Callithrix jacchus: one gene and its partners. The protein of the gene in region 2 binds, or shares a complex with, the protein of the main gene of each other region. Links are inferred from orthologs where the notes say so. Each region holds a gene or a part of one and is shown on either strand. Other genes may lie near its edges. The genes, in order: PPP1R7, PPP1CA, RB1, CDCA2, TOX4, PHACTR1 and WDR82.

Region 1 (4,154 bases), on a different chromosome or scaffold from region 2:
AAATCATTTTTCTTTGTTTTTTTTTTTAGATGGAGTCTGGCACTGTTGCCCAGGCTGGGGTGCAATGGCACGATCTCCACTGCAAGCTCCACTTCCTGGGTTCAAGTGATTCTTCTGCCTGAGCCTCCCGAGTAGCTGGGACTACAGGTGCGCACCACCATGCCCCCCTGATTGTTGTATTTTTAGTAGAGATGGGGTTTCACCATGTTGACCAGGATGGTCTCAATCTCTTGACCTAGTGATCCACCCACCTCAGCCTCTCAAAGTACTGGGATTATAGGCGCCAGCCACTGCGCCCGGTCCATTTTTCCTTTTTGTAACGTTATTCACGACCTCTTCTGGAAGTCTGTCTGGAAAACACGAGGCACTAACGCATTACTTGGAATTATCAACCACACTGAAAATACTCTCTCCTGACTATGGTTTATCTACAAAGAGATGTGCTCTTTGAGGGAGAGAGTTCAATTTCATCTTTGTATTTCCTGCTTAGCCTAGTAGCAAAGTAAAACCCAAGAAAGAATTGCTGAATAAAACAAATCCTTATAAAACCGACCTCCAAAACCTCCAGATCCATCTCTTCTTCCCTACCCTGGCAATGACAGTGGCTCAGTTACCTATTAGCTGCGGCCTGGGCTCCTGGCCTGCCTCCTAACTCGTCTCTCTGTTAACCCATTCTCCATTGCCAGAGAGGCTGATCTAATTCTAGAATCCAAATCTGATCTTTGAGTCCCAAAGTATTTCTAGAATGCTCTTTCTGAGTTTGCATCTTGCTGCTGGAGATGCAGCTTTGGCAAATCATTTCCATTTCAGAGCCTCAATCTCCTAGTCTGTGGGAGGGAGTTAGTGTAGAACCCACACCTCAGCGAGTTGCTGTCAGGGTTAAATCAGAAAAGGCACAAGAGCGGTCAGCATGTGCATGACATGCAGCAGATGTTTAACTAGGCACAGGGAACTTGGTGGTCCAGGCTTAGGGAGAGAAAGTTCTACTAAGCGACAGGCTGGTGCAGAGACCCCAGGAAGGGGAGGAGGGGTGAGGTTAGGAGAGGCTTAACTAATGAAGGTTAGCCAAAATGAAGGGTCTGGAACATGGGCCAGTGACTCAGAATATAAGAAGATTACTCTGGTGTACTGGGGATGAGGGGCTGGTGAGTAGGGGCAATCCGTCTAGCCTAGAGATGACAAAGGTTTGAGTTAAGGTACAGGCAATGGGAATGGAGGCGGCATCGAAGACTTGGAGATAGTTTTAAAAGTAGAGGTGTCAGAGCTCCTTGACTAATAGGACACGGGTGGGAGTGGGGCAGAGAGAAAAGCCCGGCCTTTATATTTGTCATTTACTAAGACATGGAAACACTTGAAGAGGGAGTGGGAGGACACAAAGAGGCACTTCTTACTTAAAAAGCCTCAAGGGTATAAAAGTCCAAGACCCTTACCACCACCGCCCCCATCCCTATCACATATGACTTGGTCAAACTCTCTTCCACACCCTTTGACTGCAGTTTTCTTCGCCTGGAGTGATTCTTGCTCTTTTCCCTCACCCTATTCCCAACCTCGTCGCCTTCCAGTTATTCTTCAGGCCCCAGCTCAGGGCTGGCCTTGCCACTCCCAAACACGTCAGCCCTTCCTTCTGCACCCACCCTCCTCCCCCAGCTCCACATTCCTCTTCCCTACCACTTTCACAGGAGGCGGTGGCTGTTCTTCGGCGAGCTCTGTAACCCTCACCAAACCGTGGGACCCAAGAGCATTCAAGCACTTGACGACTGCTTCCCAGTTGGCGGTGACTGGGCGTGTGCATGCATGTGCACACGTACCGTACATACATGTATACGACTGTACTGGGTGTGTGCATGCATGTGCACACGTGCCGTACATACATGTATATGACTGTGCTGGGTGTGTGCATGTATGTGCACACGTACCGTACATACATGTATACGACTGTACTGGGTGTGTGCATGCACGTGCACAAGCACCGTACATACATGTATGACTGTCCCTACAAGCATGTATACACACACGTGTATATAACATGCATGTGCACACGCACCGTACATACATGTATACGACTGTACTGGGTGTGTGCATGCATGTGCACACGCACCGTACATACATGTATATGACTGCCCCTACAGGCATGTATACACACACACACGTGTATATAATTTTTTCCAACAAAGTGAATGAGGAGGAAGAAAGTGGAATTTAGTCTTTTGGGAACTATGACAGCTTTGAAAACAAGCATCACCTTCCGAAACTCAATCTTCTGGTTCCTCGTTACCCCTTCGCAACAGTCCATTCGATTTCAAGAGGAGACCCTTCTCCACCCTCGCCACGTGAACCAAGGAGCAAACTACGGTGGGTCCCAGCGCCCGGAGCCTCAGTTTCCTCGTCAGCTGACCGAGGACGCTCCCCCGCCGGTCAATCTCAGAGGCTCGGGGCGAGGCTCCAACTGGACTGAATGGAGCCGCCGCGTCCCATTCAGCCCCACCCCCGGCCTGGCCTCGCGCCGCCGCTCTCCCCCCAGCCGCTGCCGCCCTCGAGCCAGGGCTCCCTGAAGTCGAGCCTCCCCCGCTCCCCCCGGGTCCGGCTGTCAGCTGTCAGGGGGCCGCGAGGCGGAGACCGGAGGTGGGGCGTGGAGTTTCTTTCAGGCACGGAGCAGTTCCGGCCCGCAGCTCCCCCCGCCCGCCGGGCCTTTGGGCCGCCGCCCGCAGGGGCCGCTCACCCTCCATCATCTCCTGCGACTGTTGCTGCCCCGCGCCGCGTTCCGCCGCCATGTTGGCTGCTCTTCCCCTTTCCGGAATCTGTCGCCTCAGGTCCCTCAACCAATCAGGGCTCCCGCCTCAGAGTCGGTCCAACCAATGGGATTCCGGCGCGGCGGCTCCAGCAGCGGCGCGCCTGCGCGGGCCCAGCTCCTCATGGGAGTTGTAGTTCTTTCATGAGGCCGCGCGCCGTGCCTCCCCCGGGGCAGGTAATTTAAGGCAGCGGAGCCGGAGCAATCTGGAGGCGAGAAACTGGGAAGGAGAGCAGGGGGAGTCGAAGCGGGACACACAGAGCCGAGGCTGCCAGCGGATGGAGAGGACGTCGAGGGAGAGTGCAGAGACGCCCTGGGCTCGAGGATTGACTTATGTCCCTGTCCCGACCTCGGAGACGTGGAGGGGCCGCGGGCCAGGCGGATCTCTCCGTGGCTGCAATTTGCGGGCCGGTCCCCCTGGCCTCTGCGAGCCTCGCTGGCTGCGTCTGTACAATGGGCCGAACGGCAAAAGCAACAACATTCTCCCGGCGTCCCCGCGCGGATTTTACCCGTGCGAAAGGCCGCCTTTTTCTGACGCTCAGAGCAGCCGGGTAGGTGCGGGGCACTTGCGCTGGTGGGGCCGCCAGCCGGCTGGCCGGTTCTGGGGCTCCAGCTGGGCTCCCCTTGTAAGCCGTTCCCATCCCAGCGCGGACGAGAAGCTGCAGTCTTCGTCTATCCCGCGGAGCCTCCGGGCCCGTAAGCAAGCCGCCCCGCGTCCGCTGACTTCAGAAAGAGGCCGCCAAGGGGCCAGCTCTGCGCTACTCACCCTTTTTGATCCCGAGACCGGAGGAAACCGTATCTGCCCGGCGGGGGGGGGGGGGCGGGGGCGGGGGCGCCCATTCCTTTTGGGTCCTCCGAAGCGCCGTAGGAGGTGTCTGCTGCGTCCCTAGCAACCGTTAGCGCGGGCTTCTGGGCTGCAGTTCTCTTAGTCCCGCCCACAAGCACAAGTGGTTGGTCCTTGAAGCTTGTCAATCGGCGCGAGTCGCTGTGCGATTGGCCGGTGGGATAGAAGCGCGGATGGGCTCCCTTCCGCGGTGTGAAGCCTGCTCGGGGTGACCCTCGCCTGACCCAGGTGAGATCCTGCGCCGGGGAGAGCCAGCTGCGCTCCGCAGTCTCCCGAGGGCCGCTATGGGGCCTGCGCTGCTCTCAGGCGAGCCAGACTCCGGGTCTCCGGCCCCTGCGCCCCTCGCTCACCGCCGAACCTGCGTCCTTTCCGTGCTCAGGTCGCGGCGGGGTTGCGGCCGTTGGCCTCGGGCCCCGCGCCCCCTGCGTCTTCGGGGCTCCTGTGTAGCCTGCCCCGCGGGAGCCGCCGTCCCGCGCCTCGGTCGCATCCTCTGGGACTATGCGCTCTCTTTGCCGCCGCCTA
Region 2 (4,111 bases):
TCTCTCTGTCACCCAAGCTGGAGTGCAGTGGCGCCATCTCAGCTCACTGCAACCTCTGCCTCCTGGTTCAAGTGATTCTCCTGCCTCAGCCTCCTGAGTAGCTGGAACCACAGGCACGTACCACCATGCCCAGCTAATTTTTTGTATTTTTAGTAGAGACGGGGTTTCACTGTGTTAGCCAGGATGGTCTCAATTTCCTGACCTTGTGATCTGCCTGCCTTAACCTCCCAAAGTGCTGGGCTTACAGGTGTGAGCCACGGTGCCTGGCCAATTTTTGTGTTTTGTGTTGAGACGAGGTTTCGCCATGTTGCCCAGGCTGGGCGCAAGAGATCATTATGCCTCAGCCTCCCAAAGTGCTGGAATTACAGGCCTGAGCCACGATGGCCAGCCCACCTCCAGTTTTGAGGTTACTGGTGTGTAAAGCACCCAACTCAGGGTTCCAACAGTAATTACGGTTCATGTAATGTCTACTCTTTATAATTCTTTTTACGTGCACACCCTGCAATATTACTGTGCTACTCAAAGCTTATTATGGGGCCAGGTGTGATGGCTCAGGCCTGTGATCCCAGCCTGGCTAGCATGGAAACTCCCCGTCTAATAAAAATACAAAAATTAGCGGGCGCGGTGACATCCGCCTGTAGTCCCTGTTACTCTGGAGGCTGAGGCATTGTCATCGCTTTAACCCAAGAGGGGAAGGTTGCATTAAACCAAGGTCGCGCCACTGCCTTCCAGCCTGTGGGACAGAGCAAAACCCGCCTCAAAAAAAAAAAGCTAATTATGGGACTTATAAGAAAATATTAATTTAGCATGCCCCAAGGACCAAAGTGCGCTGGGAATTCTAGCTGTCTTTGAGTGTGGTCAGCCGCCTGGGGGCCACGGAGACCCACGAGGAAGGGGGTCCTCGGTGCAAGCGAGGTCCAGGTCTTGAACCAGCCTGTCGCTATGTCTTGAACCTCAGTTTCCCTTTCTGCATTTGGAGAAGTTAACCCTCAGTGCGGGGCAGCCGGTTATTAACGTGTTCACGACACCCTCCACCCAGGGCAGGGGTGGGAAGGGCTGTTCAGCTTTTGAAAGAGAAAAACAACTTCCACATTCCTTCCGGCCCCACATCCTCGAAACGGAGCTGGGCGCCTCCTCTCGGGCGTAACTAGCCTCGGCCCCGCCCCCGACAGACACCGCCCCCAGCCCGCCGCCGAGGCCCCGCCCCCTGGGCCTCCGCGCCTCACATCCAGCGGGGGCGCTAGAGCGCGGGGGGCCGGGCAGGGCGGGCCCGGGAGGCCCGGAGGCGGAGCGGCGGGCCGGGGGCGGACTGGGGCGGGCGGAAGGAGAGCCAGGCCGGAAGGAGGCAGCCGGAGGGCGGGAGACGGGAGCGGGCCCGGAGCTGCTGGACTGGAGCGGCGGCGCCGCCATGTCCGACAGCGAGAAGCTCAACCTGGACTCGATCATCGGGCGCCTGCTGGAAGGTTGGCCGGGGTGGGGAAGGTCCGCGTCCGCCGCGCCCTGGACCCCTGCCCAGCCCGGAAGTGGCGCGCGGGCGGGCCCCCGGGGCCAGCTTAGACTGGGCGGGGACGCGCCGCGAGGTTCCGTGGCCGCAGCCGCCCCCCCCCGCGGACGCGCCTGAGAGGTCCGGGGCCGGCTTCGAGGCGCGGAGCAGCCCCCTCTCCCCGGCCGGGGGCTCACGGGTTGCCTCGGCTCTTGGGGCGAGGGAGAAACCCGGGAAGCCCGGTCCAGGGAGGTGTCTTGCGCTGTGAGGTTTTGGGCGGCAGCCCCCTGCGCACGACAGTCGCCTCCCGAGCCTTTGAGGATAACTAGGGGGGCTTCCCTTGGGAGGCTTGAGGCCGACGTCCCAGGAGGCTCAGCAGCAACAGCTGCCTCTGGGCAAGGAGGGGCCGAGGAGGCCTAGGCGCCCCCGGAGGTATCCACGGGGCCACCGTGTCGCCCACCCTCCCCCTGTCTGAGAGGCCAGGGTCCTGACTCCGCATTGCGCCCCCAGTGCAGGGCTCGCGGCCTGGCAAGAATGTACAGCTGACAGAGAACGAGATCCGCGGTCTGTGCCTGAAATCCCGGGAGATTTTCCTGAGCCAGCCCATTCTCCTGGAGCTGGAGGCACCCCTCAAGATCTGCGGTGAGCAGCCCCCAGCCTCGCCCAGGCCCCTTTGGCTTCCTAAAAGTGGCACTGGCCCCCACAAAGTTCCTGGAGCCCTCCTCCCTTGAGCCTAGTCCTGGCCCTGGGTTCAAGTCTAGACCCAGCATCTAGCTTACTCGGTTCCATGGGTCACAGGTGACATCCACGGCCAGTACTACGACCTTCTGCGACTATTTGAGTATGGGGGCTTCCCTCCGGAGAGCAACTATCTCTTTCTGGGGGACTATGTGGACAGGGGCAAGCAGTCCTTGGAGACCATCTGCCTGCTGCTGGCCTACAAGATCAAGTACCCCGAGAACTTCTTCCTGCTCCGTGGGAACCACGAGTGTGCCAGCATCAACCGCATCTATGGTTTCTACGATGAGTGTGAGTGGTCTGAGCACCCAGGGTTGCCCGGGTCCCGAAACGCTCCTTGCTATTCAGTGGGACCCTCACATTGGCTTCGTATCTGACAGACACTTGCTAGACTGTGCGCTCCACGAAGGCAGGGCCCGCTCCATTCTCGTGCCTGCCCTGCCCTGCCTGGCACGGGGTCTGGGGCATGGTTGCTGACTGGAAGGCTGCTGGTATTCTGGTGCTTGCTCCCAGGGCCCTGCCTGGTGAGGCTCCACTTACATCTGCTACTAAGCACTTAGGATGTGTTTGCAGATGGGCTCAGCTGTCCAGAAGCTGAGATAAACCAGACCTGTACTTGGCCCAGCTTATGGGTGGGGGTGTTTGGGGAGTGCCAGCCCTGAGGCCGGTCCAGATTGGAACTCAGTTTTCATTGGACTTGGGTGCTTTAGAATTACTTCTGGCAGGAAGATCACTTGGACCCAGGAGCTCCAAGTTACAGTGAGCTATGATCTCGCCACTGCACTCCAGCTGACCCTGGGTGACAGAGCAAGACTGTTTAATTAAAAGTTAAAATAAAAAGTAAAGAGAATAGTTCCTGGAAGGCTGATAGGCTGCAGGGGCAGGAGTGGGGACAGGGGCAGGGTGCAGGGTGGTTTGCCTCCAAGCCTCTCTCCTCCCATCTGCGTCTGAATAGCCCAGGGACCCAGGTGGAGGGTGGGGTAGGCGGGCCCCTCACAGCCATCTCCTGGGCAGGCAAGAGACGCTACAACATCAAACTGTGGAAAACCTTCACGGACTGCTTTAACTGCCTGCCCATCGCAGCCATCGTGGATGAAAAGATCTTCTGCTGCCACGGAGGTGAGGGAGGGGACGGCTGGGGACAAGGAGACCTGGCCGCATCCCCCATTGCCGGGCCAGCTCTCCTTAGGTCTGTCTCATCTGGGAAGTCACTCCTTCTGGGAAGTGTCTCCCATACCCCTGTGCCGGGCTGCGCTGACTCCCTTGTGCATCCTACATGGAATAGGCTTGGCTTGTCTATCTCCCGGGAGCTCTGCGCTCCTGAGGGCGGGGACATCTTTGTGCCTCTTTGGGAACCTGCAAAAGCTGAGGGGAAGGGGATGACTTCTGCCGCCTGGGTGCCCAGGTGACCTGTGGAGGAATCAAGGGGGCAGTGGGAAAGGTGAGGCTGATTGGCCACAGCTTCCTGGAGTGAGGATGTCCTTGTTTGAGGATGTGGACTTCCCCCGGTCCCCCAGGCTTGTCCCCAGACCTGCAATCCATGGAGCAGATCCGGCGTATCATGCGGCCCACAGACGTGCCTGACCAGGGCCTGCTGTGTGACCTACTGTGGTCTGACCCTGACAAGGACGTGCAAGGCTGGGGCGAGAACGACCGTGGCGTGTCTTTTACCTTCGGAGCCGAGGTGGTGGCCAAGTTCCTGCACAAGCACGACTTGGACCTCATCTGCCGGGCGCACCAGGTGGGCTGGCAGCTCTGGCCTGGGGTGGGAGAAAGGGAGGCCAGTGCCAGCATGCAGAACTGACTGCTCTGGTCTGCACCCAGGTGGTAGAAGATGGCTATGAGTTCTTTGCCAAGAGGCAGCTGGTGACACTTTTCTCAGCTCCCAAC
Region 3 (4,104 bases), on a different chromosome or scaffold from region 2:
TTTTAGATAAGTGTTCTCATCTGTGAAAGTAAACATTTACAGATATCTATCAAATCAGAGAAGTTAAAGAACTTATCAGAGGTCTCAGCCAGTAAGAGGTAAACCACCATGTGACCCCAACAGTCTAACTTCATAATCCATGTCCCTGACCACTATTCTTGACTGCCAATTCCTCCTTCAAAACATAATTAGTTTTCTTTTCTTTTTTTTTTTTTTTTTTTTTTGAGTTCGGGTGTCACTCTGTCACCCAGGCTAGAATGCAGTGGTAAAATCATAGCTCACTGCAGCCGTAAACTCCTGAGCTCAAGGGATCCTCCCACCTCAGCCTCCTGAGTAGATGGGACTACAGGCATGCCACATGACTGGCTAATATTTTAAAAAATTTTTGTAGAGACAGGGTCTTGTTTTGTTGCCCAAGCTCCTCTCAAAATCCTGGCCTCAACCAATCTTTCCACCTCAGCCTCCCAAAGTGCTGGCATTACAGGTGTGAGCCAACATGCCTGGTCAGCTTTTTTGTTTGTTTTTTTTAAAGACTGGGGTCTTTGTTGCCCAGGATGGTCTCCAACTCCCAAGCTGAAGCGATCCTCCTGACTCAGCCTCCTGAGTAGTACGGACTACAGGTACATGCCATCACATCCAGCTCAAAACCTTCTACTATTTCAACAATGAAGGTGGTATGCTATTCCTAATGAGTTTCCCTTCCAGCTACATTACTTAGGCCAGAGATAAGGCAACAGAAATAAGATCTCAACTCTCAAATTAGAAATGGAATCTGTCACTAGAAGGGCAGTTGGAGTGAGCCCTGATTCCATCTCCAGGCAAGATGCTGCTCAGCATCAGACTGCAGGTTAGTGGTTCTACCCTTGCTCATTTAGAGTTTAACTGTCTATGTTAATTAAACCCTCGGTGGGTACAGATAAACAAGAACAGACTGTATCTTGCATGGTTTTGACTTACAAGATAATTTTTTATGGTTCCATTACTTAAAATATATAAAATAATGAGTTAAAAAATGAAAGAAACACAATCCTCTTTTTTCCAAACAGTAGCCAGAACCTCAATATTCTAGCTACCCTACATTAGAGTATGCTTCCAAAGCTATGTGCATAACATGGAATTCTTTAGAGTAGCCATTACTGCATTTTCCCAAGGGAACTTTGGAAGAATTGGACATATCAGAATTTAATCAGAAAGTAAAGTCATGTCTTTTCTCAGAACATGCCCCAGATGTGGTTTTTAATTTTTTGTTTTGTTTTTTAACGAATATGGTTTTTAAATGACCTATAAGACATTTCATTTAAATATATAAATTTTTAATAGCCTTCCACGGGCCATTTCTAAATCCCATTTCAATCTTTTACGCTGTGAATTCTGTTAGTGTCTACCGAGTGTAAAAAGTGAGTGAGGGTGAAAGGATTTGGTGATAGACGAAAAAGGGTGAGAAAATAGTGAAAAACAAAAACAACTCCCATTCCCCTGCAATGAACCTGTAGTCTCAAAGTAGAACCAGTGATGAAAAAGAAAAGAAGTTGCAATACAATAAACACTTTCCTTCAAGTTCTAGTGCATCCACATGGACTTGCTTAAATTTCGATTTCACTTAGTAAGGGAAAAAGAAAATTTCCATGTGAGCACAGAACCACTAATTTTGTGCCAAAAGCAAAGACAAAAAGAGGGGACACCAGGATCCTTGCTGGCTCAAAGGCAAAAGGCAAAATGGAAGAAATAACGAGACAAGCTGAAGCCGACCAACGCACAAGAAGACTTCGTCCAACAGGAAAAAAAAAGTTTAGAAACTTTCAAGTACTTCTGGTAAATGTCTCACGAAAGTTTTGCCCATGTATCAGTTCCTCTGAAGAGTTATGCCCCCATAGTCACTACAGATGGCTTTGAGTCCCCAAGGCCTCGACGCATTGTTCTAAGGAAACCCGGAAAGCTCCCGAGCGGAGTACCCTGTAGGCAATGGACACTCGGGACCCTGCGCTTGTCGTCCAAGGCTCTTTGGTTGGGCTCTCCCACGACTGGGTTTCCGATGCAATGCACGCCTAGAAGAAAATACTTCCCAACTGTTGCATCGCGTAAGACTAAAACAGAAAGTCAAATGACCACTGGAGTACTCCAGATCTTAAACGGTGAAAAACTCTCCCACAGATACCAGTCATTTTTGTATTTTTATTTTTCACGTCTGATGGACGCTCCCAACGACCCTCCGCCTCCGAGCCTCCGCCTCACGAGAAAACTGCACCTGTCACTTCACTTAGGACCCTAATCCCACCCGCCGACACCTGTCAAGCTGAAGCCGAGACCCCTAGCCCGCGACCCCAGAACCCTGTTACCATTCTGCAGACGCTCAGCAGTGGCTGGGGGCAGGGAGGGCGTTTCCTCCCGCCAGGACCTGGCCGCCGGCAAGAATGCGTCCAGCCGAGCCACCTCTGCGCCCGCCCGATTGCCGCACCCCCGGGGCACCCTTCCCGCGTGAGGCGGCGGCTGCTCTGCTCGCTCACCTGACCAGAGGCAGGTCCTCCGGGCCGCTGTCCTGCTCTGGGTCCTCCTCAGGAGAAGACTGAGGCGGCGGCGCTGGGGGTTCCACGGCAGCGGCGGCGGCGGCGGCGGCTTTTCGGGGCGTTTTGGGCGGCATGACGCCTTCCCGCGGCTGGAGGCAGCTAGCTGTGGAGGAATGCCGGGGAGGGCGACGCGTGCGCACGTCGGGGCACGCCCCGTCCTCTCCCGACTCCCGTTACAAAAATAATTTCAACGTCCCCAGAGAAAAACCGGACGCGCCTTCCCCCGCCCGGCAACTGAACGCCGCGTCCAACCGCGCGAAAACGTCACTTCCGCCCGCGGCGTCACGTCCGCGAGGCTTCCCGGGCCCGCGGGAGTCTGTGGGGCACTGGGGCGCTGGGCGGTTCGCAGGCTGGAGCGCTAGGTCGTGAGGGATAAACTGGGAAACCCGGCGTGGGTCCAAGCGCCTTCCGGGAGGCATCCGGCGCGGCCCGGACGTGTTTCCACTCGAAACCACCCCCTCCAGGCTGGGGTGTCCTTAACAGGGCTATACAAATAGTTCAGCGGAGGACTGTGGGCCGGGTCCCTATCCCGGGGTCTGACACGGAAGGCGCTCGGGCCCCGCGGGGAGTATCTGGCGAGTGCACCCTCAGCGGGCGCGCACCTTTGCCTCCCTGGGCGGTGTCCGCCGTCTCCTCCTGCCCAGTCGATTTAGCAAAGTCGGCCAAAACTAAAACAAACTTGGAGCGCTAATAGGTGCTGAACTTTACTAGTCACTAGAAGATGCAAAATGTTAGACAGTTGCTGGCCTTTAGGGGATCACTGGTTAGGGAAAGGGGAGGGATCTGTGGGAAATGAACACAGAATTAATGTAATAAAAGATCTTCTCAGTGGTGTAAAAACGGGAAGCACCGTGGAAACATTTAAGGGAGATTTTCGGAGGAGCAGTAGTTGTTGAATAGAAGTTTGCCAGACAGGCCTGACATTTACTGTGTACCAGGAACTGTGCAGATCGCCTTACATAATTAATCCCCAGAAACAGCTTTTTTTTTTTTTTCTTTAACTTCAAGTTCTAGGATACAAGTGCAGAACGTTTACCTTTGTTACATAGGCAAACGTATGCCATGGTGGTTTGCTGCACCTATCAATCCATCGTCTAGGTTTTAAGCCCGGCATGCATTAACTAAGAAACAGTCCTTTCTAATGGGTAGTATTAGCTAGTTACGTTGCAGACAGGGAAACAGGCTCAGAGAAGTTAATTTGCCCAGTATCATGGCAGATGGGTAGCAGAGGATTTAAACTCAACTGTATTTGATTCCGTTTGTCCATTACATTATTTTGATGAAGAAAACAGAGAAGGCGCATGTGCAAAGGCACAAAGACATTAAAAAGCTTGTTGGGACTACCATATTGGCTTAAAACTATCGCTTCTGTGTCTTGGTATTTATATAAATAGATTATTGAATTTGAGTACATGTTTTTATCTCTGGTAGACAGTTATTGCCCACTCAGAACTCACCAACTGAGAAGGAATGAGATGATTTGTGCTGTGAATAGACTACAGTTGTGCTCTGATGTAAATCCCCTCATCCTGTAGCAGCT
Region 4 (3,500 bases), on a different chromosome or scaffold from region 2:
TGGGCACAGTGGCTCATGACCATAATCCCAGCATGATCATGAGGTGGGCAGATCATGAGTCAGGAGTTTGAGACCAGCCTGACCAACATGGTGAAACCCTGTCTCTACTAAAAATACAAAAATTAGCCCGGGAGTGGTGGCACATGCCTGTAATCTCAGCTACTCAGGAGACTGAGGGAGGAGAATCACTTGAACCTGGGAGGCAGAGGTTGCAGTGAGCTGAGATTGCACCACTGTACTCCAGCCTGGGCAACAGAGCACGACTCCATGTCAAATAAATAAAATAACAGTTGTCATCATACATTTAAAATGTGAGGTACTGTATTAGACACGCAAAAGTATTTTAGTATATCTTTGCATGTTTTAGGTTCTGAAAAAACTCAATTCTAATAATTAAATGTATTCTTTTTCAATAGGCATGTTCCATTCCTTTCAGTTAGATTTTCTTTTTTTTGCTATAAAAAATTGTGCTAGATTTTTCTTTTCATTGATAATTTAGACTCAGGCACTAGATTTTACTAGACTTAGGCTCTTAGATTGTAAGAAAAGTATGATGATGCACAATGGCCGGGCATGGTGGCTCATGTTTGTAATCCCAGCACTTTGGGAGGTTGAGGCGGGTGGTTCACCTGAGGTCAAGAGTTGAAGACCAGCCTGACTAACACAGTGAAACCCCATCTGTACTAAAAACAAAAAATTAGCTGGGCCTGGTGGTGTTAACCTATAATCTCAGCTGCTTGGGAGACTGAGGCAGGAGAATCGCTTAAACCCAGGAGGCGGAGGTTGCAGTGAACCGAGATCACACCATTGCACTCCAGCTTGGGCAACAATAGCGAAACTCCGTCTGACACACACACACACACACAATATATATATACACACACACTATATCTATATCTATCTACACACACACATATATGCATATGTATATATGTGTGTGTATGTATGAAAACATTTATGCCTGTGTCATTTTGTTTTTGTTTTGTGTTTATAGCCGGAAAGGCAGGTCTTAGAGCATGCCAGCAGTCTGGGTTCCCTGCAGTGTTGGCCTCCAAACGTCGGAGGATATCCTGTCAGAGGGACTCTGATGAAAATCTAAGGGATGCTGAAGGAAAAGCAATTGATCTCCAGATACTCAGTATTGATACAGACAGAGGATGTGCAGTTGAAACTTCTGCAGATCTTTCCGAGGTAATTCACTTAACTTTACACATAGGAGAAGGAAGTGTTGGTTTTCTGCATAGGCAGTTTTAAAGCTTTCAGTGCTGTTCTTCAATTTACTACCTCGTTCTGCCCTGTGGTAGCTAGATGGGTGAGTGGTGGTGTGTGTGTGTGTGTATGTGTGTGTGTGTGTGTGTATGTATGTGTTTCCCACCTGTTAATTTTATGATTACCTCGTTCTGCTCTGTGGTAGCTGGGGTGTGTGTATGTGTGTGTGTGTGTGTGCGTGTTTACTACTTGTTAATTTTATGGTTGGTTGTTGGTATCTATCACTTCTTAGAAAGCGTTTGGATAGAGATCTCACTTTTGACTACTAACCTTATGAAGAGAATAAGCCCTGTGGTCTTCTGTGTGTGAGATATTCTATAGGGTGATGCTCCAAGAAGGCAGGAAGTCACAGTCCTGCCCTCAGGCAGTATTTTTTCTCCTGGGGAGTGGGTTATAAGCAGATGGTTTCAGTGGAGCTGGTGGATCAGGTGGAGATTATATGTGGGGTGTACTCCGCAGGTCTGGGAGTCTTGCGCTTCTTCCTGGCCCTTACTGCTTTCCTACTGACTGGAATTCAGGGTGCCATTCAGCAATTGCTCCTTTGCACTGCTCACTTCTTTCAAGTAGCTCTAGGGAATTTTGTGGCTTATAACTACCTAAACCCTGTCAAGATGATTAAAAGGTGATATTAGGAGAAAAATAATACTAAGTGAAGATCAGGCGGCCTTCACGCACGTGTGAACAGGGAGCTAGGCTTTCATGATGGGCTTTTCCTGCTTCACGTTCCTCGTTCTGGTTTGACACAGTAGCTTCTCATGTCCTTTGTGAGAGGAGACACCTAACACCATTACAGTTGGAACGCTTTCTGTACCTTCTCTGTCGCTTAGATCCAGTGCTCATCCTCTTCACTGGATGTGGACTGGTGGAATAAAGGTTCGATAGTAGTTAAGAGATTCTTCAGGTTCCAGTGGGTTTCCTTTGTATCTCAGTCACCTGTAATCTTGGCTCCCTTTGCCTTATTCAGGTTAATGTGAAATCCCCATCTGACAGAAACAATGGTAATTGTTTGTAAGCAGAGCTTTGGTTAATTGTTTGAACATACATCATGATTCAGACATTATTTCTGAGTTAGTGTGAATGTGTTTTTATCTTAGCCTTCAATGGCTTTCGTATCTTAGTTATTGATGATGTTTGGCTTTTGATTAATAATTAGATAAACTTGTCTTTATTTTGAGAATTTTCTCTAAAGAACTGTAGATACAACTGTCTAGGCTTTAACAACAAAAATAGGTCCTTTAAACGTTTCCTGGGGAATTAAAAGTTGATTTGTGGGATGTTTAGGATGCAATTAGTATGAATACTTCATTGTTAGATTCCTGTATGCTTTGAGTTTTTGAGATAATGAAGGTGGCTGATTGAATACCAAATTTCCAGGTAATCTATAATGTTTACTCAAATCTTCAAAAAGGTATTAGTAGTACTGTAAGTAATAAAATGTAATAGTCTTTCAATGTTTCCTCAAGAAATCGTCTAAACCTGGTTCAACACAGTCTGGATTTTTCGTGGAAGAGTCTCTTCCCCTTTCAGAGCTCACAGAGATTTCAAATGGTAAGTATTTAACTTTTTCTTAGTACACATCCAGTTGCCTGATTCATAGACATTTATGATTAGTGTACCTATTTGCTAACATTTAGGGGAACTGAAATGGTTCCCTACTTTTTAGGATCTTATGGCCCACGAGACATGCTTCCGAATTCTTGTAATATGAGGGATATCCTCTTTTTTAAGCTACCATCACTAAGAGTTAGTGAAGTATTTACAAGCTCATGAAATTTAGTATAAAGAGGCAGGACCTATGAATATATTAACAAGTATTCTTTGTTAGAGAAACACTACTCATAGTATTTTTATTTGTTTTTACGCATGTAAAAAGAGTTTTATCAGGATGTAATAATTACTTATTACTTCTTAAAATCAGTATGCTTGTACTGAGTGAACCCTAGCAAGGGTTTAGATTGACTTTTATTCTATTTGGGTCTTCAAAGTAAAGCTCTTATGGGCATATAATTGGATCTTGTGTTTTTTTAAATCCATTTTGATAATTTATTTTTGATTGGAATATTTAGCCTCTTAACTTTTCAAGTAATTACTTAGATGGTTTTATTCACATCTGTCATTTTATAGTATGTTTTCTATTCCTACTTATTGCTCTGTAACCTTTCATGGTCTATTTAGGTAATACTGTACAATTTCACACGGAAACTTTACGAACTCTACAGATGAATTTCCTC
Region 5 (3,500 bases), on a different chromosome or scaffold from region 2:
CATTGTTGAGGTCTTCTGAAAATCCTATACAAATGGGAATCTATTTGTTGTTAACATTATAATTTCTGTTGTTAACATTATAATTTCTAAAGTGGAGAAGAGGTAGGAAACTCTAAGTGCAAATACGTTAGAGGGGGATAAAGTTCCCATGACAGTACATTTTAGCATCCATTTGAAAGGAACCTAAAACAACAAAGTATAATTGGCTGGCTAACGATGAATTTCTGTGGCCTAACAGTTTAGGTGTAATAATTGTGAAACTAACTGTTCTCTATGAGAATCTTTAGAGAGATGTCAAGGATCATAGATAAACAAGTTATAAAGGCTATATCTAAGTAATGGTACTGAAAGAATTATTCATTAGAACAATAGGCATAATTTAGGGCAACAGAGATGGTAATGGTAGAAAAGAGATACAAGAATTGAAAATTGCCAGGCGCAATGGCTCATGCCTATAATCCCAGCACTTTGGGAGGCCAAGGCAGGTGGATCACTTGAGGTCAGGAGTTCAAGACCAGCCTGGTCAACATGGTGAAACCCCATCTCTACTCAAAATACAAAAATTAGCCTGGCGTGGTGGCACGTGCCTATAATCCCAGCTACTCAGGAGGCTGAGGCAGGAGAATCACTTGAACCTGGGAGGTGGAGGTTGCAATGAGTTGAGATCATGCCACTGGGTGATAGAGCGAGATTCCGTCTCAAAAAAAAAAAAAACAGAATTGAAAATTGTGGCTGTTAGCTGCCTTGAATGTATCATATGACCAAGAGTATTAGAAAGAAGAGAGATTTGTAAAATTAAATAGGTTCTAAGAAATCGATTACAAAATAGGATCCTAAGCAGAAAAAATGTACCCTGAGAATCTCAAATACCCTAATACGTTCACTTGCTGTATGCCATTTCTCCTCTTTTCACGAATTCTCTTCCCCCTTTTTTCTTCTACAGACATTCCATACACCAAGCTTGGGTGATGAAGAATTTGAAATCCCACCTATCTCCTTGGACTCTGATCCCTCATTGGCTGTCTCAGATGTGGTTGGCCACTTTGATGACCTGGCAGACCCTTCCTCTTCACAGGATGGCAGTTTTTCAGCCCAGTATGGGGTCCAGACATTGGACATGCCTGTGGGCATGACCCATGGCTTGATGGAGCAGGGCGGGGGGCTCCTGAGTGGGGGCTTGACCATGGTAAGGGGCAAGACATTGTCAGGCTTACCCCAGCTAATGGGCATGGCATTAGAGGAGACAAAAGTTACTCTTTATTCCGTACTCCACTTGGGTATTACTTGTTTCTCATTCTTGTGGCTAAAGGCTCACCAACTAAGATTTAATTTCACTTGAGTAAATGAAATTTACCATGTAGGTAGATTTTACTTGAAAAATAATTTAAAATTGTACAATGTCTGGTTTGAAAATTATTGTGGTTTTTGAAAAAAATGTTTTCTGCTTTTATTATGGCCTTTAAATCCTAGGATTCAAATTTGAGTGTGATAGCTGACACATGGAGGGATTTATTCAGAAATGGTCTGAACCATGTTGAGAAGCTAGCAGAAAGAATAGTGCTTTTTTTTTTTAAAGGTCTGAGCCAAATAGAGTATTAATTGTGGATTAGTATGTGATATAAATCAGTATGCTGGGCTTCCAGCACATCTCAGCAGTAGAACATCTTCATACTCTGTATTTGATGCCAAATTTCTGTAATAATGGGCTTATTTATGCTGATTGCCTGTATATTGCAATTTTAAAAGCTTTTGGGAGGGTACAGACAGGAAGGTTTTCTTTACTCAGTGTGTTGTCACTACCTATAGATTACTGAATAAGTTGATTGCTCTTTAACTTATCCAACGGTATGACTTCTGATTATTTTTATTTCTTCTTTTGAGTGCAGAGAAATAAATTCATTAATTTCTGTACTTTTTAAAAAAGCTTAGTTTTTAAAAATATTTTTGTTTTTGCTTAATTTGTTTTATATGAAGACAAGTTATTTGATGTTTTGTAGTTTAAATGATACAGTCTAGGTAGGCAGGAAATTTATAAGATGTCCTATATTCAGGGGGGAAAGTGGTTTTTTTTATATTTAATGTTTAATTAGTCCTTCTGCTTCTCTCAGGATTTGGACCATTCTATAGGAACTCAGTATAGTGCCAACCCACCTGTTACAATTGATGTACCAATGACAGACATGACATCTGGCTTGATGGGGCATAGCCAGTTGACCACCATTGATCAGTCAGAACTGAGTTCCCAACTGGGTTTGAGCTTAGGGGGTGGCACCATCCTGCCACCTGCCCAGTCACCTGAAGATCGTCTTTCAACCACCCCTTCACCTACTAGTTCACTTCAGGAGGATGGTGTTGAGGATTTCCGGAGGGTGAGGCATTCCCTGTCAAAATCAACTCTGCCGTGATAGTCTAGGATAAAACTCTTGACATACAGAGCCTAATGAGTATTCTTTACCCCTGCCCTGGCATCTCCTCTGCTCTTTTCTGGGTATGGGGTTCCACCTCCCAATTCCCAGTTTATAATTCTCCTCTCAATTCCTATTCTTATTGGTTCACCATACTTGACTAATGTCTTTTAATGCTATTACCACAATTTTTAGCATTTCTGAAAATGCTGTACGTTAGCTAGTTTCCAGACATAATACTTCTCATTGTCCATTATGTAATTCTCTCTCTTTTCTCCCCTACAGCAACTTCCCACCCAGAAGACAGTGGTGGTGGAGACAGGGAAAAAGCAGAAGGCCCCAAAGAAGAGAAAAAAGAAAGATCCTAATGAACCTCAGAAACCAGTTTCAGCGTATGCTTTATTCTTTCGTGATACACAGGCTGCCATCAAGGGACAGAATCCTAATGCCACTTTTGGCGAGGTTTCAAAAATTGTAGCCTCCATGTGGGATAGTCTTGGAGAGGAACAAAAACAGGTGAGCAAATATTGAGAAACTAGTAGTGAATGTTCCAGAATTTTTTGTTGTTTTTTGTTATTTTTGAGATGTAGTCTCGATCTGTCACCCAGAGTGGAGTGCAGTAGCATGATCTTGGATCACTGCAACCTCCACCTCCCAGGTTCAGGCGATTCTCCCTCAGCCTCCCGAGTAGCTGGGATTACAGGTACGTGCCATCACGCCCAGCTAATTTTTGTATTTTCAGTATCGACGAGGTTTCACCATGTTGGCCAGGCTTGTTCTCAAACTCCTGACCGCGTGATCTGCCCATCTTGGCCTCCCAAACTGAGCCACCGTGCCCAGCCTGTTCCAGAAGTTTTTAAAGAGATAAAAACTGAGGTTTTCCTTTTTCTTACATGTTCTTACCTAGTACCAGCTGTTTGTTAATGACACATATCATCCTTTGTCTTAGAAGTTGCAGCTATATACTGACTCCAGAAAACCTATTTAAAAATTATTAATAGACTATGTGTGGTTGCTCATGCCTTTAATCCTAGCATTTTGAGAGGCCAGGGCAGGAGGATTGCTTGAGCCTATGAGTTCGAGACCAACCTGGGC
Region 6 (4,120 bases), on a different chromosome or scaffold from region 2:
CACCTTAAGCAGCACCTTCTTCTATAGAGCCTGACAAAATAGGACATTGGGGAAATCTGTTTGCCTCACAATGATCTCGAGCATACAAATGTTTTAAAACAGCTGGTGCTCCTGGCATGTAGAAAATATGATTCAAATTGCAAATTGCTTCTAGAGAATTTATCTAAAAGAACATCCACTCCTTACAGACTATCACGGGAGGCCAATCCTTGCCAGAAGTGAAATTTATTCGAACTTCCACAGTGGGCAGTGCTGCTGTGGTTTCTGGCAATAACAAAAGAAGGGTTAGACTCCTGACCTCATTCAATTTTCGTGATTAAATGAGTGCACCGCACATTAGATTGGCAGGATTAGCAGCATAAAATTAGGCACTACAACATTGTCTTCCCCGTTGAAGAATGCTTTGAGGGTAAATAATCCTATCAGGTGATATGTGAGCATCCATACATAGCTACTTGGAACATTCCGAAGTGTGTGAGGCCATGGAGATGATGCATGTTTCAAGAACTATGTGCTATAGGTTAAAATACGTACCTGCCTCCATTGACAGGGAACACCGCGTTGACCAGTGATGGCACTCATAATGACATTTGTCAACACATTTTGAGTATGGACATTTACCTTTCCTTACTGTAGCAGCATTTACAGATACTAATTTAAATAAACTCCCAAGGTTGTGAAGGCAGCCCATTTGGGCAGCAATTCAGTCAAGAGAGCAACCGACATTTAATAAACATTTTAATAAACATTTTAGCCTGCATCTCAAGCTCTATTTCATTACATGGGAAAGGTCTGGCTTTGGGTCATCTGATTAACCCATTTGTATTCCATAGGTATTGACGTTATCAGCTGATGTAGTAATCACAAAAATCGAAACACCTGTCAGTATGTGCCTCTCAGAAACATATCCCCACCCTACCCCACTCCCCACCCCATCTATCAGCAGTGGCGTTCTTGTGTTTTGTGTGGGCACCTTCCTCCAGTCCCATCCCAGTTTTCCTCTTGAATATCCGGTGCTGTCCTGCACAGTCTCTCTTGAAGTTTAATCAAAGAAAACGATAATGACGCTAGTAGGACTCTAATTTTGAAAAGACATTAGCCAAGTCACAGTCATTTCATTACTCTGCACTTCAGAGGCAGACTAAGAATGGGAAGGATCCTAGGTAATGTTTGTTCTTCCAAAAGGAACAGCAAAACCTGCCTGGCTGATGGGAAAAATCTGCCTGCCCAAGCAGGTGTGCGGGTCAGGCATGGAGATGAGCACCAGGCCGGCCAGTACCTAAGGCTTTCAATGCAAAATCTGCTGCCTAAAACTTTTCCATGACCTCCAGCGGCCCTGAAGAGCCTGTTCTGTGAGCTGCTCGGGAACCGCCTGGAGGCTTGCGCGAATGCTCTGCCACACAGGTGCGTCCACAGCTGCAGAGGCTCCTGCCTGGGCCGCGCCGGCTGTCCCAGGCTCTGGGCTCCTTCCGCCCAGAGTCGCTGGCAGCCGGTTATCCCTTCACTGTCTTGCTTCAGATTGGATTGCCAGAGCTCTGGCTCGCACACGCCCAAGCTCACCTGGAAAATGCCGCTGCGCGCCCCTTCCCCCACCTCTCCCCATTTTGGCCTTTGGGCATCATTCCAGCAGGGACCAGCAGCCGCGCTCCAAAAATCACAGCCATGTTTTACTCTAAACAGGCATCATTCAACAACTCCACAAGTCTCTAGGGCGCTGGGCGCCGCCGCCAAGCCGCCTCTCCAAACTGATGCCACCCGAAGGAAGCCCACGTCCGTAACGCAGCCCAGCAAACCCTGTATCCCAACGTATGACCAGCATGGGGCAACAGTTAAGAAGCTCATGGAAAGAAAAAGCAGGAATAAGATCCTTTGCCCCCAGCAAATCCCCTAAACCTCAGCTTCCCAAGTGAAAATCCGACTTGCTCTTTTAAGTGTATCAAAACCCTCATTTTGGGGACCACATACGTCAATGGGAAATGCAGGGTGCGAGCCCGGGTTGGGCTCGTGGGTGGCACTCTGCAAGGTGCCCAGCGGGCGGGTGTCATGTCTGGGTGGAGAGCGGATGTCCCCACAGTTCTCCAGGCGGCATACGCCGGCGGGGCCCCCAAACTGAGACGGAGCCACCTCCCCGCCTCCAGCGCCCACCGCTGCCGTCGCCCCGACGGGCCCCGACACTCACCGTCCCGGGCGTCCTCACCGCGACTGCAGTTGCTGCAAATGTGTTTAATCTCCTTGCCTAGTTGACAGTGGATCACAAAGGACACGTTGTTGTTGTTGTTGGGGGCGGGCTCCTTCAGGGGCTTCATCCTCAGCAAATAAAAAGCTTTCTTTTTGGATTTCTCGGCACTCGCGCCTGGCACCGCGCCTTCCCTGCAGCGCCGCAAGCGGAGCGCAAACCTCCTGGGTTTCGCTGAGCGCGTGGGCTCCGCCATCCGGTCCCCAGGCGCCCGGGGTCGGGCACTGCTCCGACCCCCGCGCGCTGCCACTCGCACCCCTCTGCCCCGCCAGCATGCCCCCGCCCCGCCTGCGCCAGCTGCTCTACATTTACGCCGCCGCGGCGGGGCGGGTCCGGGAGGGCGCCGAAAGGGTCTTGACCTCGCAGACCTCGCTGCCGGAGCCAATCCGAATCCCAAGGCCAGAGGAGCGGGTGCGCAGGGCGCTCCTCGGTCACACCTGAGACGCTCCACTCCCACCTCTCCCCGGGCCCCACGTGCACATCCTCCTCTGGCCGCCCCACCCCTCCGGAAATCTCAGCACCAGCTACTGAGAACCAGCTGGGTTTGCAGCTACCTTCACTCTCAAGAGCTCCAGGGCGGAACGCCAACCCCCTCCCCCTTTTCTTCACGCCTAAAGCTGCCGAATGAAAGCAAAATGTTTCGCAGTGGAAGTGCTGCGCCGGGAGCCCTCGGGTGCAAGCGCCCCTCCGGGGCCACAAGAAATTACCCTTCTCCGGCGGGTCCAACCCGCAGCCCTTGACTTTCACTGGAGCAGACAACCTGTTACAACATAATTGATGTTTTCACCTCCCATAGAAATGCTCCGACCCGAAAGAAGATTTAACGCCAGGGTCATTAAGAAAAAGAAATGCTGATTTTATCAAGACTCAGAACAATTTGCGAGTTTGGGATTCTCGCCTAATTTGGCCAAATACTCTCCAGCTGTTTTAGCACAGTGATTAAGGCTTAACAAAGCGTCATCCACCAGGATTTCCAAAGGGAGAACAGTGTTTTTTCTTTTTATTTTTCTTTTAAATTGTTTTTAGAGATGGGCTCTCACTCTGTCGCCCAGGCTAGAGTGCTGTGGCATAATCACAATTCAATGCAGCCTCGAACTCTTGGGCTCAAGCGATGCTCCTGCCACAGTTTCCTAAGTAGCTGGGATTGCAGGGAGAATAGTGTCTTAACAAATCATGCAGAACAAATCAAGGCTCAATAACTTGTAATTATTATTCTTCAGCCATGGATTTGCCTTATTAAAATCACACTATTTCCAATAAACCACCATTCACACAACAATCCTCTATCACCTTTTAGAGAACCAAGGCTTAGAGAAGCCCCATATCACAATCACCTTCTGTACTTATTTTAAAAATATAGATTACAGAGCCCCAAATCCTGATATTCTGGTTTAGTAGGTCAGTGCAGTGTCTAGGAATCTGTCCCTTTAACAATCTCCCTCGGTGACTTTGATGCAAAGCATACATGGAGATACAGATGTTTACAGCCAGGTGTGTCTGCCCCCAAATCTGTGTTCTTTCCAGCCTACTCTGAGTCACACGCTCGTCCTCTTTTCCAGCCTACCAGAATAGTGTCAGTTAAAGAATGCACTGTCATTATCGTTGTTTCTAGGAACTTCCTCAAAGCTAATTTCACAATTCCCTATGACTCCCTCTCCCATAAAATGCAGTTCTTTGCTAGTCTCTCCTCCAACTGGGCAAATTCTACATGTACAGTTGCCTCACAGGTAACAGGGTCAATGATCAGCTGAGTATATTAGATTACTATATTACAAGAGGCTTCTGCTCACTCCAGTTCTACCCCTCTATCATCTTTGATATTTCTTATCTGTAAAAAGTTCTGCCCATATCAGCATGATAAGAGAGAGCTTCATGTTCATTCTG
Region 7 (4,251 bases), on a different chromosome or scaffold from region 2:
TGCCTGTAATCGCAGCTACTCAGGAGGCAGGAGAATTGCCTGAACCCAGGAGTCGGAGGTTGTGGTGAGCCGAGATTGCGCCATTGCACTCCAACCTGGGTAAAAAGAGCAAACCTCCGTCTCAAAAAAAAAAAAAAAAAAAAAAGGGTTGGGGGGAGGCACACAGTATATATAAATATTTACATGCAGTAATGAAGCAAATGCAGAAAATGTAACCAGTTATTGAATCATATGGCAGTTCTCTGAAACACTTGCAAATTTCTATGTTTGTAATTACATAAAAATGCTACATGAGTGAATAAACTGCCTGATGTCACAAAATTGGCATTTTACTCTTAACAAGACAGGACTTGGCCAGGTACAGTGGCTCATGCCTGTAATCCCAGCACTTTGGAAGGCTGAGGAGGGTGGATCACCTGAGGTCAGGAGTTCAAGACCAGCCTGGCCAATGAGGTGAAACCCATCTCTACTAAAAACACAAAAATTAGCAGGCCATGGTGGCGGACACCTGTAATCCCAGCTATTCAGGAGGCTGAGGCAGGAGAATCGCTTGAATCCAGTAGGCGATAGTTTCAGTAAGCCAAGATCATGCCACTGCACTCCAGCCTGGGCGACAGAGGGAGACTGTCTCAAAAAAAAACCAGACCAGACTCATGTCAAGGTTATACTTCCCAAAGAGAAATTATGCCAAATTTGGGGACAAACTGCAAAGAAATGCTATCACAACCTTCATTTTCTTTAAATGAGGATATATGATCTCCATCCTCATATTCTGGGAAGAGGTCCTAATCTGTGCATAAGCACTAAACGTTTCATGCAAGCCAGCTTCAAATTACTACTCCAGGACTCCACAACTCCAGCTACTACCATACCTTTAAATGTTACTTCCTCTTCTAAACTGATTCAAGTGACCAGACCAGGACAGAAATCTATCTACTAAATGAGTAACACTGACTCAAACTATTTGCCCAGCTAACAATTCCCTCCTCAAGACCACCCTGCCACATACTGCAAGCAGATCCAGAGCCAGTTACATAACACTTTTTCACAGCCCCAGTGGGAAAAAACTGGGGGTGGGGGGGGGATACCACTATAGCTCAGTCCAAACTAGTGTTACCTCAGATAATCAAATTCACAAATGAAAAGACACGTTCCAAAAGACACCAGGGGGGGAAAAAAAAAAAAAGCAAAAGAAACAGCTGGAGAAGGTAGAAAAAAACCCAAGATCTCAAAAAAACAAGATGTGTTACTAAGTAACAAAATCAAGTCTGACAAAACCAGGGGCCACCGATTTAAACCAAACATCAGCAAGCCTTCATGGGGAAGGGGGCTGAGGGTAAAACGAATTTAATCTAAGCTAGTTTTGGCTCCAAGGAGCTGCAAGTCCACAGGCGTGCGGTGAGGGGGCTGCCAGGGACCCCCCAGGGAAAAAGGCAAAGTGCCGTGCTTAGGTTTTGTGAAAAGATGCAGGTGTGGTGGGTCTCCAGATGACTTGCGGCAACATAGAAATGTCATGGTCAGAATTGGAATTCAAAGTGGACCAACATATTTAATAATAATTTTTAAAAAAGGATGAAAGGAAACCCAAAAATGTTCTACGATGCTTGCTTTGTTTTAACGGAAGCTCACATTCAGGTCAGGATGGGACGACCAAGTTTGTTTGTATGTGGCAAAAAGGAAGTTTTAGATGCTGCTGAGAAGTTCACTTAAGAACGTGGGCACCGATTCTGACGGAGTAAGAGAGAGCCTAGGAACAGGAAGAAAATGCAAGGGGGCTCAAAGAGGCACAACAAATAAATCCTGACAGCTAAGAACTGCAACCCACGCGGCCTGACGGCAGAAAGGTCGCAAGAAGCTGAGGGGCAGGGGATGGGCGGAGTGCCAGGGAGGAATCGAGGTCACAGCGGAGAGGGCAGAAGAGAGAGCTGCCGAAGGAGTCAGGAGAGCCGCCCCTGCAGTCCTGCGACGAGGACGGAGACGACCAGCACCTTAGAGAACCTGAGGAGCTGAAAACGCTACCTGCTGGGCCCGGGGTGGGCAGACCGGGCGTTTAAAGGTCAAGGTCAAGGTGGGGCTTGGCAAGCGATGCATAGCGCTTTAAGGAGACCTTAGACATACAAATAATAATGCCATTATTATGACTATCACAATTTTTTTTTTTTTTTTCAGAAGAAAAAATAAAAGGTCTCCTGGACGGCTGCGGGGTGAAGGTGGCCCTGGCAGGAACGCGTGCAAAATAGACCGGGGACTGAAGTCGAGACGGAGGGCGGGCAGAGGGACCAGTGCTGGGCCACCGGAGGGAGGGAGGGAGGGACTGAGACCCGGGCCCAGGGCCTCCGCCTCACTCACTTGCCCTCCTGGCAGTCATAGAGCACGATGGAGTCGTCGTCGCTGCTCGAGATGACCGTCTCGCCGTTGGGGCTGAAATCGAAGCAGTTAATCTTGTCCGAGTTTTCGCGGAACACCTTAGCGACGCGGAAGCTCCGCAGCACGCTGTCGGTCAGCTTCATGGCGGCGGCAGGGGAAGGCAGCGGCGGCGCAGGGCCGGGGCGGGGCCCGGCGGCGAGCGGGCGGGCTGCCGAGGGGCCAACCAGGCGGGGCCGGCGCCGCGCCGGCGGCTAGCGGGAAGTCGGCCGACAGTTGGGCCGCCTCCTCCCCTTCCTCCTGCTTGGACAACAGTCTTCTGCCTGGACTGTGGAGCCTCGCCGATCTTTGGTCCTCACAGCCACCTCAGGGGCAACTAGCGCGTAGCCGGCTCATTGTGTCCGCCATCTTGGGGCGACAGGCAGAAGCGGAGGGCGAGGAGCTTTAGCCGCGGCGCACGTCGGGAAAGGGGGCGGGGCGGGAACAGCCGCGCGAGGCGGGGAGGCGGGGCGGTGACGTCAGCGCTGCCGCTGTCGAGTGTAGTGGCTCGGCGGGCTGCTGGGAGGGAAGGGTCGGGACGTGCAGGGCCTTCCCCAGGGTGTCGGAAGGTGGCGAGTGCCTGGGAGCCGGGGGCCCTTGCGCGGGCTTGCAACATCCCCCTACGAAGGCTCGGGTGTCCCCTACAGGCGCCCCAACCGCAAGCCGCGCGGAAGGGGTGCTTTGGGGTCGGGAACGCGGCTGGAAGCCGGTTTTGGGGGTGAATCAGGTGAACCGCTCGCAGGCGGTCTTGACCGCTACTCCACCGCAGCGCCCGCTTAGACAGCTTCGACCTCTTTACTATTTTATTGGGCTGTGATATACAATAGAGTGCACAATTTTTTTTTTTCAATGAGACGGAGTCTCGCTCTGTCGCCTAGGCTGGAGTGTATTGGTCTTATCTCCGCTCACTGCAACCTCTGCCTCCGGGGTTCAAGCAATTCTCTGACCTCAGCCTCCCGAGTAGCTGGGACTACAGGCGTGTGCCACCATGCCCAGCTAATTTTTTTTTATTTTTAGTAGAGATGGGGTTTCACCATGTCAGTCAGACTGGTCTCGAACTCCTGACCTCAGGTAATCCAACAGCCTCAGCCTCCCAAAGTGCTGGGATTACAGGCATGAACCACTGCTCCCGGCTTCATAACTTTTCTTTTTGAGAAGGAGTCTCACTCTGTCCCCCAGGTGAGTGCAGTGGCAAGATCTCAGTTCACTGCAACCTCCACCTCCCAGGTACAAACGATTCTCCTGCCTCAGCCTCCTGAGTAGCTGGGACTACAGGCTCTCACCACTACACCCAGCTAATTTTTGTATTTTTAGTAGAGATGGGGTTTTGTCATATTGGCCAGGCTGGTCTCGAACTCCCGACCTAAGGTGATCTGCCAGCCTGGGCCTCCCAAAGTGCTGGAATTATAGGCATGAGCCACTGTTCCCAGCCAGAGGATACAGTTTTAAATTCGAATTTCTTCTTCTCTTCATATATATGCATATAAACCTTATAGATGCAACCCTCGCCCCTTTTAGTGTTAAATCTTACACATTTTTCCATGTTAGTAAACCGGATTGTTGTTGGTGTTCTTGTTTTTTGATATGGAGTCTCACTCTTGTCACCCAGACTGGAGTGCCATGGCATGATCTCAGCTCACTGCAACCTCTGTGCTATAGCTGGAACCTGAGCAACACCATTTTAGAAAAGACAAAGCTGTTTTTCAAAAATAAGTTGTAACGGCTGCCCCATTCTCCTCACAATGACTGCTAACCTTGGCTTCTGTAAATAAAACTGCTTACCTTTTCTTTCTTTTTTTTTTTTTTGAGATGGAGTTTCGCTCTTGTTACCCAGGCTGGAGTGCAATG

What was found.
Region 1: the proteins of PPP1CA (region 2) and PPP1R7 are in contact, whole or in part, in a crystal structure (PDB 8U5G), measured with the Homo sapiens proteins. The link is inferred for Callithrix jacchus from reciprocal best matches to the Homo sapiens genes PPP1CA and PPP1R7. Residues at the interface, in NP_002699.1 of Homo sapiens: Arg23, Pro24, Leu40, Arg43, Arg96, Gly97, Lys98, Ala128, Ser129, Ile130, Asn131, Arg132, Ile133, Tyr134, Gly135, Tyr137, Asp138, Lys141, Arg142, Ile146, Lys147, Trp149, Lys150, Asp154, Asn157, Pro192, Thr193, Asp194, Asn271, Cys273; in NP_002703.1 of Homo sapiens: Asn84, His85, Tyr86, Arg87, Arg106, Gln107, Leu109, Tyr128, Asp129, Gln131, Asp148, Ser150, Phe151, Phe170, Val172, Glu192, Gly194, Ser195, Phe214, Gly216, Lys217, Ser236, Gln238, Ser239, Tyr258, His261, Ser283, Glu300, Trp302, Asn304.
Region 3: the proteins of PPP1CA (region 2) and RB1 are in contact, whole or in part, in a crystal structure (PDB 3N5U), measured with the Homo sapiens proteins. The link is inferred for Callithrix jacchus from reciprocal best matches to the Homo sapiens genes PPP1CA and RB1. Residues at the interface, in NP_002699.1 of Homo sapiens: Lys168, Ile169, Asp242, Leu243, Phe257, Arg261, Met283, Thr288, Leu289, Met290, Cys291, Ser292, Phe293; in NP_000312.2 of Homo sapiens: Lys873, Lys874, Leu875, Arg876, Phe877, Asp878, Ile879.
Region 4: the proteins of PPP1CA (region 2) and CDCA2 are in contact, whole or in part, in a crystal structure (PDB 5IOH), measured with the Homo sapiens proteins. The link is inferred for Callithrix jacchus from reciprocal best matches to the Homo sapiens genes PPP1CA and CDCA2. Residues at the interface, in NP_002699.1 of Homo sapiens: Gln20, Gly21, Ser22, Pro24, Tyr70, Asp71, Leu73, Arg74, Glu77, Tyr78, Asp166, Lys168, Ile169, Asp242, Leu243, Tyr255, Phe257, Arg261, Pro270, Ser284, Glu287, Thr288, Leu289, Met290, Cys291, Ser292, Phe293, Gln294, Ile295, Leu296; in NP_689775.2 of Homo sapiens: Lys391, Arg392, Val393, Thr394, Phe395, Gly396, Asp398, Leu399, Ser400, Pro401, Glu402, Val403, Phe404, Asp405, Glu406, Ser407, Leu408, Pro409, Ala410, Asn411, Leu414, Gly417, Gly418, Thr419, Pro420, Val421, Lys423.
Region 5: PPP1CA (region 2) and TOX4 share a complex: the UniProt entries of both Homo sapiens proteins name them as parts of the PNUTS-PP1 phosphatase complex. The link is inferred for Callithrix jacchus from reciprocal best matches to the Homo sapiens genes PPP1CA and TOX4.
Region 6: the proteins of PPP1CA (region 2) and PHACTR1 are in contact, whole or in part, in a crystal structure (PDB 6ZEG), measured with the Homo sapiens proteins. The link is inferred for Callithrix jacchus from reciprocal best matches to the Homo sapiens genes PPP1CA and PHACTR1. Residues at the interface, in NP_002699.1 of Homo sapiens: Pro24, Arg43, Gln68, Tyr70, Asp71, Arg74, Tyr78, Arg96, Gly97, Lys98, Ala128, Ser129, Arg132, Ile133, Tyr134, Gly135, Tyr137, Asp138, Trp149, Lys150, Thr153, Asp154, Asn157, Lys168, Ile169, Met190, Arg191, Pro192, Thr193, Asp194; in NP_001309240.1 of Homo sapiens: Arg424, Lys425, Ile426, Leu427, Ile428, Arg429, Phe430, Ser431, Asp432, Tyr433, Val434, Glu435, Val436, Ala437, Asp438, Ala439, Gln440, Tyr442, Asp443, Arg444, Arg445, Ala446, Lys448, Pro449, Trp450, Leu453, Lys458, Ile461, Arg462, Glu464.
Region 7: PPP1CA (region 2) and WDR82 share a complex: the UniProt entries of both Homo sapiens proteins name them as parts of the PNUTS-PP1 phosphatase complex. The link is inferred for Callithrix jacchus from reciprocal best matches to the Homo sapiens genes PPP1CA and WDR82.

The regions. Positions count from the first base shown.
Region 1 is NC_133507.1:162,429,369-162,433,522, reverse strand, and holds the start of PPP1R7 (protein phosphatase 1 regulatory subunit 7), read right to left. Parts: upstream 2,801-4,154; 5' UTR 2,772-2,800; coding exon 2,720-2,771; intron 1-2,719. UniProt on the Homo sapiens protein: Regulatory subunit of protein phosphatase 1.
Region 2 is NC_133511.1:124,477,355-124,481,465, reverse strand, and holds the start of PPP1CA (serine/threonine-protein phosphatase PP1-alpha catalytic subunit), read left to right. Parts: upstream 1-1,311; 5' UTR 1,312-1,408; coding exon 1,409-1,463; intron 1,464-1,993; coding exon 1,994-2,125; intron 2,126-2,281; coding exon 2,282-2,512; intron 2,513-3,235; coding exon 3,236-3,340; intron 3,341-3,738; coding exon 3,739-3,962; intron 3,963-4,045; coding exon 4,046-4,111. UniProt on the Homo sapiens protein: Protein phosphatase that associates with over 200 regulatory proteins to form highly specific holoenzymes which dephosphorylate hundreds of biological targets.
Region 3 is NC_133502.1:67,638,881-67,642,984, forward strand, and holds the start of RB1 (retinoblastoma-associated protein), read right to left. Parts: upstream 2,801-4,104; 5' UTR 2,639-2,800; coding exon 2,505-2,638; intron 1-2,504. UniProt on the Homo sapiens protein: Tumor suppressor that is a key regulator of the G1/S transition of the cell cycle. The hypophosphorylated form binds transcription regulators of the E2F family, preventing transcription of E2F-responsive genes.
Region 4 is NC_133514.1:16,048,636-16,052,135, reverse strand, and holds part of CDCA2 (cell division cycle-associated protein 2), read left to right. Parts: intron 1-994; coding exon 995-1,191; intron 1,192-2,732; coding exon 2,733-2,817; intron 2,818-3,500. UniProt on the Homo sapiens protein: Regulator of chromosome structure during mitosis required for condensin-depleted chromosomes to retain their compact architecture through anaphase.
Region 5 is NC_133509.1:55,990,333-55,993,832, forward strand, and holds part of TOX4 (TOX high mobility group box family member 4), read left to right. Parts: intron 1-943; coding exon 944-1,186; intron 1,187-2,108; coding exon 2,109-2,369; intron 2,370-2,690; coding exon 2,691-2,921; intron 2,922-3,500. UniProt on the Homo sapiens protein: Transcription factor that modulates cell fate reprogramming from the somatic state to the pluripotent and neuronal fate. In liver, controls the expression of hormone-regulated gluconeogenic genes such as G6PC1 and PCK1.
Region 6 is NC_133505.1:17,700,343-17,704,462, forward strand, and holds the start of PHACTR1 (phosphatase and actin regulator 1), read right to left. Parts: upstream 2,801-4,120; 5' UTR 2,433-2,800; coding exon 2,180-2,432; intron 1-2,179. UniProt on the Homo sapiens protein: Binds actin monomers (G actin) and plays a role in multiple processes including the regulation of actin cytoskeleton dynamics, actin stress fibers formation, cell motility and survival, formation of tubules by endothelial cells, and regulation of PPP1CA activity.
Region 7 is NC_133516.1:34,802,070-34,806,320, forward strand, and holds the start of WDR82 (WD repeat-containing protein 82), read right to left. Parts: upstream 2,801-4,251; 5' UTR 2,511-2,800; coding exon 2,350-2,510; intron 1-2,349. UniProt on the Homo sapiens protein: Regulatory component of the SET1/COMPASS complex implicated in the tethering of this complex to transcriptional start sites of active genes.